3 linked regions of the Oryzias latipes genome follow. The protein of the gene in region 3 purifies or fractionates together with the protein of the main gene of each other region. This does not show direct contact. Links are inferred from orthologs where the notes say so. Each region holds a gene or a part of one and is shown on either strand. Other genes may lie near its edges.

Region 1 (3,632 bases), on a different chromosome or scaffold from region 3:
ATATGTCCAACACAAGAGGCTTTCAGCTCACATCTGTTTGCTCAGCTGTTGGACAGGACAAGTTTAAAAAAGAAAAGGTATAACAATGTAAATGGTGTACACTTGTATACCGCTTTACAGTCACAGACCCATTAACACGCCGGTGGCGGCTCCGCTGCCGAACACTGGCGCCAACCTTCCACCAGAGGCAAGGTAGGCTTCAGTGTCTTGCACAAGACACTTAGACACATGGGTGGACAAGGCGGGAATTGAACCTACAATTTTCCGTTCAGGGGTCGACTGCGCAACTGCGGCACCACAGCCGTCCTGTAATGTACAGCCTTCAGCAGCCATGTGACCTTCGTCTGTCATGTAGCCTCCTTGCCTCCTCAAGTGGTTTTCATCTCATCTCTGCCTCAAAGTTCCTTTGGGATTTGAGCAGCAGCACAGCTGAAACCTCTATTTTAACTTCCTCATAGATTCTATCATTTTTGTTCATACAATGAACGGTAAATTCTTCTGAAATGACCAGCGCCACTACAACATCCATATTTATTCAGTTCTTACAAGAAGCAGGATCAATAATGTCTGTGATGACATGGAAGTCTAGCGACAGGTAGACAAAATCCTACAGCATAACGCCTTTATTACAGATGCAGATACAAAGGCTTGGGGAGGGGGGCAAGGTTATTGGGAACATCCAGAAAAAAAAACTACAGTTAAATAAGGAGAACAAGGTGTGGGGGCAGAAGATCAGTCTGTAACAGATCAAGTGGGTGGGTGTTCTCCAGAATGTCATGAAGATGATGCTGATGACGAAGGTCTGGGGAATAAATGTCAATCTGGTGCCAGAAGAACCTCAGCTGCAGATGTAGCAAGCACCTCCTCCTCAGTGGACCAGCTCCAGCTGGCTGCTGGAGAAGGGCAGCACGCCGCTCACGTAGTAGGCGATGCCGAGTGAGAGGAGGGCAATGACCACCAGAAGCAGCAGGACCCTCCAGAAGCCCAGATCCTCCACGAACTCCTGCCAGGTGGTCCTGAAGCTGGACAGCACCCCCTCGCTGCTCTGCAGGTGGGGGTTCAGTAAGGAATGACTCTCCATGGCGCTGGCAGCAGAAGAAGAAAGACTTCAGACCAAAGAAATTGAGTCCTATGAGGTCACATGACCACTGAACTCTGTGCACATGGATGCGACACCCCCACATACACACTTCTGAATGTCATGCACCCCCATTACCTCTCACTGTCAGCCATCTGCATGGTCTCCAGCTTGGAGTGAGCCCCTCTGTTGAAGCCCTTCACTTCCTGCTCCTCCAGACCCTCCAGGAGGCGGATGGCGTCTTTGTTCACGCCCCGCCTCTTTGCCAGCACCAGGGGGGTGGAGCCATTGTGGTTACTGAAGCCAGGGATTAGACACAGAAACAGGGGAGGGTAAGTCAAACTGAAAAAAAAAATAAAAACATGCAGCATCCTTTCTGTAAAAATGGGCCATAATCCAATCCCACAATCCTTTGCTGTAACCAAATGAAACATTGGTTTTAGAGAGTGACCACAGACACGGACATGCTTGTAAAGGATTCTGTTTGAATCCTTCCTATGCTGTGGAACAAACAGCAGCGATGACAGAGAGCCACTAACCAAATGTCAATCTTCAGTCCATTGGACACCAGGAACTGGATGGTGTCCACATGGCCGCACAGATGCAGCGCTGTGTTCCCCTGGTAGTCTGTAGCGAGAAGGTCAGCGCCAAACTTGTGCAGGAGGCGACAGATGTCCACGTTTCCTCGCGCCGCAGCCAAGTGCAGGCCTGTGCGGCCACGGTTGTCGCGGATGTTGGGGTCGCATCCCGTTTCTAGGAGTTTCTTGGCGAAAGGCAGGTCCCCGTCGATGCAGGCCTGCAGCTGGGGCACGCTGGTCTGCGACGAGTCATTGATGAAGACATAGGACATGTCCGAGTGGGTGTCAGAAAATTCCAGCGTACCTGCAGGAAAACAAGCGGGAAACGGGATGAGAAACCTCAGCAACTCATTTAACCCTTGTGCTATCCTAGGCACTTTAACATTGGGAGTTGGGTCATCTAGACCCCACTAGACAGTGCGCTGAACCTTTTCTCTTCAATGATTTGTGGTCTTCACTGGTGTCCATGGATTACATGAAATCTTTCCACCTTTATCCACCTTTGTCATGGTAGGGATAACACGTCAATGTAAGGGTGGGGTCATCTAAGATAGCACAAGGGTTAAGGCTTCTGCAAACATCTGTGAAGCTTCTGTGAGACCCCCGTCCCATTCCAGAAGTTTCCACTCTACTAAATATTCCAGTCCACTCTCAGTGCAAATGGAACACAGAAGAAGACATTGGGAAGGACGACAACTCTGACTTCTTAAGTGAAAGGGAACATCTGGGTTAGTCTTGTACAAAGTTTGGATCCATCTCTTTGTTTGACCTTGTAAAAAATCAAGGCCACAGGATCTATAGATTATTCAAAAGCTGTCTTGCAGCAAATTAGGATGAATTATATTACAGCATCACTATGATTCTCCCTTAACCACAGCGCAGAGCTCCTCTGCTGATCAATCAAGAACATCTGACATGGGAGCAGAATGCTTCAAAAGCTGCTCCCCATCAACAGCTGATGTTAACATGATGTCAGTGAAAGTTTTGTGGTCAATCATCAGTTTCGGTGCTGCCTACCTCTGATGAACAGTGGGCGGGGCTTTTTACACTGGTGGTTTTAAGTGCAGTAAAGTTAGGCTATTAATCACAGCATGAAATACTGGAAACTGGATTAGAGTCTGTCACAATCGGACTACTGCCAGCCATTGTCTTCCACAGTCTTTCTATTATAGACCTTTGGGAAACTAGACATGAATACACCACCCAGCCTACTTACCGTGCAGTTATATGCAACCATGGCAAAAAGTTCGTTCATGGAGCCTTGGTTCTCCCTGTGGGTCTGATCGTGCTCTCTAATGCAGTTATGCAGATGACACTCAGCTTTGTGTAACTGTCACCAAACCATCATAGTCTATCAGACTCCCTGCTGCTCAGAGCAGCAGAACTCCTACATGAACTTTATTGAGTTCAAAAATGACAGACAGAAGTCTCTGTTATTGGGAACAAGAAAAAAAGAATGAAGATCAGTGATTTTTAGAGGAATGAAGATCAATCTTAACAGTCATGCCAAACTCAGAGCTGAGTATCTGTGTCACGTGGAATAATAATAATACTAATACATTTTAGGACTCTTAAGGCCACTGTTTTTTTCTGATTTGTTTTCTGATTTGAAATGGTTTATTTCAAGCAATCAAATAGAAATAATACACAAAAACAATATAATCATCAGTTATACATTCATACAGTAACTAATCAAACTTAGGATAATTAGACATAATTAATAAATATTGCTTGAAAGGGAGTGGAAAGAAGCGAACTTATATAATCCCACCCCGTTATACTATAACCATTTTATTACATGATTTATCAATATCCGGTTCCTAGGTTTTATCAGACAGAATTAACAATCATAAGGTATCAATAAAGCACATGCCAAAGATGAATTACTTAAGTACTACGTCAAAAATAACTATTTTAGAAATCAACATGGCAAATGCAGCATCTGAAATATATGCAAATTATGTTACTTTTAAAAG
Region 2 (4,157 bases), on a different chromosome or scaffold from region 3:
TTTAGATTCATTTTAATCTTTAAAAAAACGTTTTGGGTCTGATCAAATCTGTTGTTAAGTGGATTCCTGCTTATCTAAATGTCCCTTTATTTTTTGGATAGCGTTTAATGTGTATTTCCCAACCAAACCATATTGGAGATTGTGTGTTTGCTCTTTTCTGTTTGTTGACAGAATTGCTCAACAACCTGTAAAGTGAAATCTATCAACTTGGTGAATGAGAGAAAGCAAAGCATGTTGTTGAAGTCACGTTAGATCCCTGTGGAGAACAGCGTCCTCATCTGAGGTCGGAACCAGCTGACGTCAGCTTCAGAGGAGGGATTGACTGAAGTCCCTCAGCATCTGTGTTCACATCCTAACATGTCACAGAGTCTGCAGCTGCAGAGACAGCAGTCCCCTCCTCTCTGCCTGCTTCCAGGTGCTCACACAGCCGCAGTGATCTGACTGATGGGGAACCGCTCTGTTCCCACGGAGCTGCGCTGCTGAAACCAGAGCGCACAGACGCCATCTGGAAGCATGGAGCGACTTTCTTGCGTTTCTTCCACCAACTGACTGCATGGATGAAGTGAAGAGGATTTCTCCACGTGGCCACAGACTCTTTCTGGATCTTGGACGGTCTGTGCCTCTGAGAAGCTACTGATGCTGATCAACTTCTCCAAACTTTTCGAAACCTCGCAGCAGCTGAAGCTCCGGCGGTCAACCTGAAACTTATTTTACTGCCTTAAACGCTCGTGGAAATGGCCAACAGCTCGTTCCACTACCCCTCTATCCTCCATATGGAGTTTACTCCTGTTGTTGACATTGCAGAATACAACGAGACAAACTCAACGGCTGGGGAGCGCAATCTGCTGGGCTGCTTTCAGATCCGCATCCCACAGGAGCTGTTCCTGACTCTGGGACTCATCAGCCTGGTGGAAAACATCCTGGTCATTCTGGCAATAATCAGGAACCGCAACCTGCACTCACCAATGTACTACTTCATCTGCTGCCTCGCCGTGTCCGACATGCTGGTGAGCGTCAGCAACGTGGTGGAAACCATAGTCATGCTCCTGACTGACCACGGCCTGCTGGACGTGCACCCCGGCATGCTGCGGCACCTGGACAACGTCATCGACGTGATGATCTGCAGCTCCGTGGTGTCATCGCTGTCTTTCCTGTGCACCATCGCCGCGGATCGCTACATCACCATCTTTTACGCGCTGCGCTACCACAGCATCATGACCAGCCAGCGCGCCGTCATCATCATCGTCCTGGTGTGGCTGGCCAGCCTCATCTCCAGCATCCTCTTCATCGTGCACGACACCGACCACGCTGTCATCGTGTGCCTCATCACCTTCTTCTTCACCACGCTGGTGTTCAACGCCGTACTCTACCTGCACATGTTCATCCTGGCGCACGTCCACTCCCGGCGCATCACGGCTTTCCACAAGAGCAGGCGCCCGTCCACGAGCATGAAGGGAGCGATCACGCTCACCATCCTGCTCGGGGTTTTCATTATATGTTGGGGCCCTTTCTTCCTACACCTCATCCTCACCCTGGCCTGCCCCACTAGCCCCTTCTGCAACTGTTTCTTCCGAAACTTTAACCTTTTCCTCATTCTGATCATCTGTAACTCGCTCATCGACCCGCTCATTTACGCGTACCGCAGCCAGGAGCTGCGGAAAACCCTGCAGGAGATGCTCATGTGTTCCTTCTGCTTCAGCGTGTGACTGAAAGTAATGCTAGAACTTTTTGGGCCTAAACCGAACCGGGATTGGGTCACATCACTGTGCTTGAACTTGATACAACAGTTTTTCCTCATAAGAACTCCTTAAATGACATTCGGAGAAATGCGTCAGTTTCACTGTAACGTTTTGTGTATTTGTGTGTTATCTTTATCTGTATGCTGTTTTTTTAATAGTAAAAGACTTTTAAAAAGTTTCTGACCTGATTCTAATATTAGGCAAATTATATTTGCTTTAGCTCCAATTTCTTACATATTTTTCACTTTTTCTATAAAAATTGTAGATTACCTGCCTCAACTTTAAGAGCACACCTTCTAAAAACGAAACAAAAAGAAATGTACATCTGTTTATTTCTTTACGTTACGTCCGGCAGCAAAATAATTTAAAATTAACAAAATACATTTGATGTTTTAGTTCTAAGTAAGAGGTGGACGGGCGCACCATTAGTCATAAATAATAAGGGCGTATTTAAAAAGATTTTTAATTGTTGAAGAAAACTGTTGAAATTGTAAAAGAAAAATACAAATAAAGAACTAAATTTCTGTTTTTAAAACAAGAATCCAGAAATATTTTTGACCCATGTTTGTTACTTATCTAAACAGACGAAAAGAAAGAAGAAAAAAAGAAGAAGGGGGGGATAAATTTCCAGTTTTTACTGCATGCTTTTAGTAAGTTTTTTGCAAAATATTTTGCTCCACCTTAATTCAAAGCACCAAATGTGTGATATAAAAACTAAGACAGAAAAAGTGTGATCTTTGTTAGATCTTGAATCAGATTGTTTCTGTGGAGATTAAAAAAATAGATACAAAACCGATTTTAAAAAAGTGAGAAGATTCTCTTTGTTATCTCATATTTGTAAATATTGTCAATAAAATACAGTGCACTACACATGACATTTGCTGCTGAATTAGGAATCTGAACTTTTATTATCAGGTTAACCTATAAACATGTATTTTCTGTCTTACTATTTAAAACCTACAGTTTTCACTTTGTTTTATTTCCAGTAACCTCATGTTTATGTATTTTATCTTTATTGAATTCTTATTATACAAATTCTTCATTGTTTTCATAAGAATGACGATAAACAGCCTTTGATTTAGGCCTAATGAGATTATGGTTATTTGAACATGACATCTTTCCGGGGCTTATGGACAGAAAGAAATACATTTTAGTCTAAATGTACGTTTGGATTACTGGACTTTTCTGCAGCGTTTTTTTTTTTTTATCTGTTATGCCCAAATAAAAAAGGTCAGGGTCTTTTTTTTTTTGATGAGGCTTAAAAAGAGGATTGTTCCTTTCCCTTTGGAAAAAACAGCCAGAATAGTTTCAGCGCACTGCTTTTTAGACTGGTTATCTGATAGTGAAACACATGTGGAAAATTCATCATCACATTCCTGCTGAAAAGACTAAACAGGTTGATTTCAGCCGTTAAAGTTTGTTTGATCTTGTTACCTATCAATATTTATTTAGAACACATGAAAGACATCAAATCACAAATAGCTAAAATAAAATAAAATTAAAAAATGATGTTTCTTGATAGTGGATTGATAACAGCAGGAAGTTTTACCTTTACATCTTATTTCTAAGTTAAATTAGATCCATGTGAGGCTTTTTTTGGGTTATTTTTTTCTTGTATATTCTTCAGTGCATGTTATTACATTGATAATATAACTTCTTAATTTTTAAAGAAACTCTACGTACACATTTTTCTTAAACATACCTCAGAGTGTTGTAAATATTGAGATACTTTGATCTTTGGGTTTTAAATTTTTGTTTGATTACAATTGACTTGTTTTCAGGGTGTGTTTAGCCTTTTATGAAGTGAACCAACTTAATAAAGAACAAATATAGTTATATTTTTAAGTCTTCTATAAGTCAATCTTTGGTTGAGTTTGATAGTAGCCAATAGGTGTGTTCTTCAAGCTGAAGCTTTTACTCTTTCTGCAAAGGAGTTACAAAAACAAACAAAAAATGTTTGCAGTTCTCCTGATATGCCTGCTGCTATGAAAAAAAAAAGAATTTGTAATGTTTTCAGTCACAAAATTGCTATCTTAAAGAAGCATGCTATTTGTGTACATAGGATTTCAATGAAATGTGAAGGTCTGTAAATGATCCTTACAGCTGTGGTACGTTGTGTTTGTGTATTATACATTACTCAGTTGAAAACCGAAGACTTTTTATTTCACTAACAGCTTTGGCACCTTTCTTCCCCCCTATGAAACACACACACGCACACACACACCCGCACATATGTACACACAAAAGGCATCAACTTTTGTCAGCTTTGGTGATGTGTCAGCAATATATTGTAGGTCAATTGTGCAATGTAAGACCTTTTTTTATGCTATAGGCAACACTATTTGCAAGCGCCTGCATTGCTCATGACCTGAAACCCCTGCAGGAAAATCGCAGCAAAGCAGCATAATTATCAATGCA
Region 3 (2,565 bases):
TTAGCACCAAACGTTCCCCTGTGAACAATTTCCAACTATGTTATGCTTGAAGGAAGGTTAAAAATGTCACCTTTTTTATTGTGTTTCCCTCTGAACAACCAACACTGTCCGCCTCGTTTGGCTCGGTTAGGTGGTAAAATCTCCATTCTCTTTAATCCGACTGTCAGCCTCTGATTGCTTGTGCTTTGCATCTAACCGGTTTGCCGTTTGCTGCTGTTTGTTTCTAACACTCCTCCGTTCAGCTCCTGTCTTCTCTGTATCGCCTCACTTTCTGCAGCTCTAGGTCCCGATTCCTGCTCTATTGGTGTGGAGGAATAACTGGTATGTAGGCTTTCCTGTCTGCTCTATTTCTTTGTGAGCTCCTCTGCTCCCTCTGTAGTGTTTCTTTAGACGGCTGTAGTGATGTCATAGCCTGAGTGTGTAGCTTTTTGTGACGTCAGTTAAAGGTGACCCCTAACCTGTGGGTGTCTCCTCAGGATCATCGGAGTCAACAGAAAGCCTGAAAAGTGAGAGCACCAACTGCTCCAGCCAGCCTCTTCTGTGTCCCACCATGAACCTCCATATGGAAGATGAACACCTGAACCCCTGACTGAAACCACCAACCCTCTCATTCCTGTCACTCAACATTTCCTGCCCTGATGTGGACAGAAAAGAGCGTTTTCCTTGATTTTGGAGGAAATTTGTTTCAGTGTTCACGTCGTAAGACTCCTGTGAAGATGCTTCGGACTGAGAAAGATGTGTTTTCTTAACATTTGAAAAGATTTCGCCAACTTTTTCTTTGTTTGTTTGCCTCAGTCAGTCAGACCAGCGCTCCTCTAATTCCACTACCTTTGACGGTGGTGCTTTAAAGCACACTTACTTTACATTTCCTGTACACATTTCTTGACACTAAAAGTAAAAAATAACTTATAAATACAGTTTGTGGTTAAATATTGTATCCAGTAGTGAATCATAAGTATAATTTAAGGCATTTTTGTTTAGCCCTTACAGGTTTATGACCTCCAAAAAAAACACCTTTTGAGTTCATTTTGAACAAAATTATTGAGAAATCATTCCTTTTAAAAAGTGTATTTGAAGAATTTCTGTGCTTTGCTGTTTTAAACATAGTCTGTTGAACCATTGTGTATCTATGTAAGATATTTACTAAAATCCTCTGCTTAAAAATGTATTCTTGCATAATATGTAGGAAAAAAACTGATAATGAAGTAACTATAACTTGCAGAATGTTTCACATTTTTATGACAAGAACTGCAGATTACCATCCTAACAGCTAAAATCAAAGATCGCTGAAGCCTGAAACCAGCTTATAGATAGATGCTCCACCTTCTCAAAAGCAGCACAGCCAGCGCGTTTGTCTTCGATGTGTCTGATCTCTGTCCAGTTTTTCTTTTGGTTTTTAAATGTTGCTGCAAAAACTGTTTGGTATGACATAGTGGCAAAGTTGGGGGTCGCATTCGTTTGGGCGGGGCAGCTTTATCTACTTTGGTCTTTTATGTGTAGCACCATGCATATAGATCTATGTGCCTTGAAATAATATGGCTGCCTGCCTGCTTGTGGAAACAGACATTAGTGTTCTTCATTCTTCAGTTTCAATACATAAATGGTTTCTGACGCTCATGTACAGAGCGTTTTCTTTTTTTGTGTGTAATCTTTATAATGCCCAGATAATAACAACGCATCTCATTAGTGTTAATGAATTAAACAAGTTAAACCATGAAGTTACTTTACTATGACGAGTTAAAAGTGATGCATTTAATATCTGTATCTAGTTCAGGTGCAATCTTGTAATATTTGTGTTACTGAAAGAAACCTTGCAGAGTTTGCATTGTAATGAGTTGGCTTGCATTTGCTTGTGAGTTGAGACCCCCCCCCCTTCTTTTCTGCTTTTTAATAATGCCCCCCCCTTTTTTTCTGTGCCATTTCAACTTGACACTGTGCCTTCCTGTTCTGACCACTGTCAACCTGGTATCCAGGATAACTCCTCAGTAGGTGGTGTCCTATCTCACCGTCTCTCTCTGTGTATAGACGCATGTGTAGAACAATAAAGAAACATTCAGTATCCCAACCAGACTTTTAATCTCTTTCCCTCAATAAGAGTTGTGATTATGCCTAAAGAATCTTTATTTAAAAAATTTTTAAGGCAAAAATCCAGATTAAAATGTGTGAAGTAAAAAAAAATACATTCTTAGTGAGATATTTCTACCAACTGGTGTGAAGATTCACAAGGTTTTAGTACTTCCTGAAGCTCTCTAGGAAAAGACAATACAACACCAAAAGATGGAGGCAAAAAGTCCAATTGTACACACTGTTTCATACAAATCCACAAATTATTTAACAAAAGGTGCAACTAACTGTACAAATACGATAAATGAAAAACAAAGTTTGTAGGACAAAACAGCTTTAAAAATTAAAACTTTGCATTAGACTGTATTGCTCTGTGGTCAAATAAAACTGTGTCATGAATTTATGCAGGTATTGTTTGAAATGCTATAAAAAAACGGTGATATGTTTAGGGCACACAACACGCCTCCCTCCCTGTAGTTGACATTCAGCTAATTATAATTG

What was found. Proteins that work in one complex are often made in the same cells at the same time.
Region 1: the proteins of mgrn1 (region 3) and ankrd46 purify together in Homo sapiens (co-immunoprecipitation; 3 studies listed by BioGRID and IntAct, counting the BioPlex papers as one, with this or other methods). This does not show direct contact. The link is inferred for Oryzias latipes from reciprocal best matches to the Homo sapiens genes MGRN1 and ANKRD46.
Region 2: the proteins of mgrn1 (region 3) and mc1r purify together in Homo sapiens (affinity purification with western blotting; 3 studies listed by BioGRID). This does not show direct contact. The link is inferred for Oryzias latipes from reciprocal best matches to the Homo sapiens genes MGRN1 and MC1R.

What each region holds. Positions count from the first base shown.
Region 1 is NC_019876.2:21,534,655-21,538,286, forward strand, and holds the end of ankrd46 (ankyrin repeat domain-containing protein 46), read right to left. Parts: intron 1,961-3,632; 5' UTR 1,929-1,960; coding exon 1,618-1,928; intron 1,376-1,617; coding exon 1,217-1,375; intron 1,086-1,216; coding exon 869-1,085; 3' UTR 501-868; downstream 1-500.
Region 2 is NC_019861.2:22,128,556-22,132,712, forward strand, and holds the end of mc1r (melanocyte-stimulating hormone receptor), read left to right. Parts: 5' UTR 1-734; coding exon 735-1,706; 3' UTR 1,707-3,657; downstream 3,658-4,157. UniProt on the Homo sapiens protein: Receptor for MSH (alpha, beta and gamma) and ACTH. The activity of this receptor is mediated by G proteins which activate adenylate cyclase.
Region 3 is NC_019866.2:8,153,197-8,155,761, forward strand, and holds the end of mgrn1 (E3 ubiquitin-protein ligase MGRN1), read left to right. Parts: intron 1-277; coding exon of another isoform or gene 278-318; exon of another isoform or gene 319-321; intron 322-476; coding exon 477-589; 3' UTR 590-2,065; downstream 2,066-2,565. UniProt on the Homo sapiens protein: E3 ubiquitin-protein ligase. Mediates monoubiquitination at multiple sites of TSG101 in the presence of UBE2D1, but not of UBE2G1, nor UBE2H. Plays a role in the regulation of endosome-to-lysosome trafficking.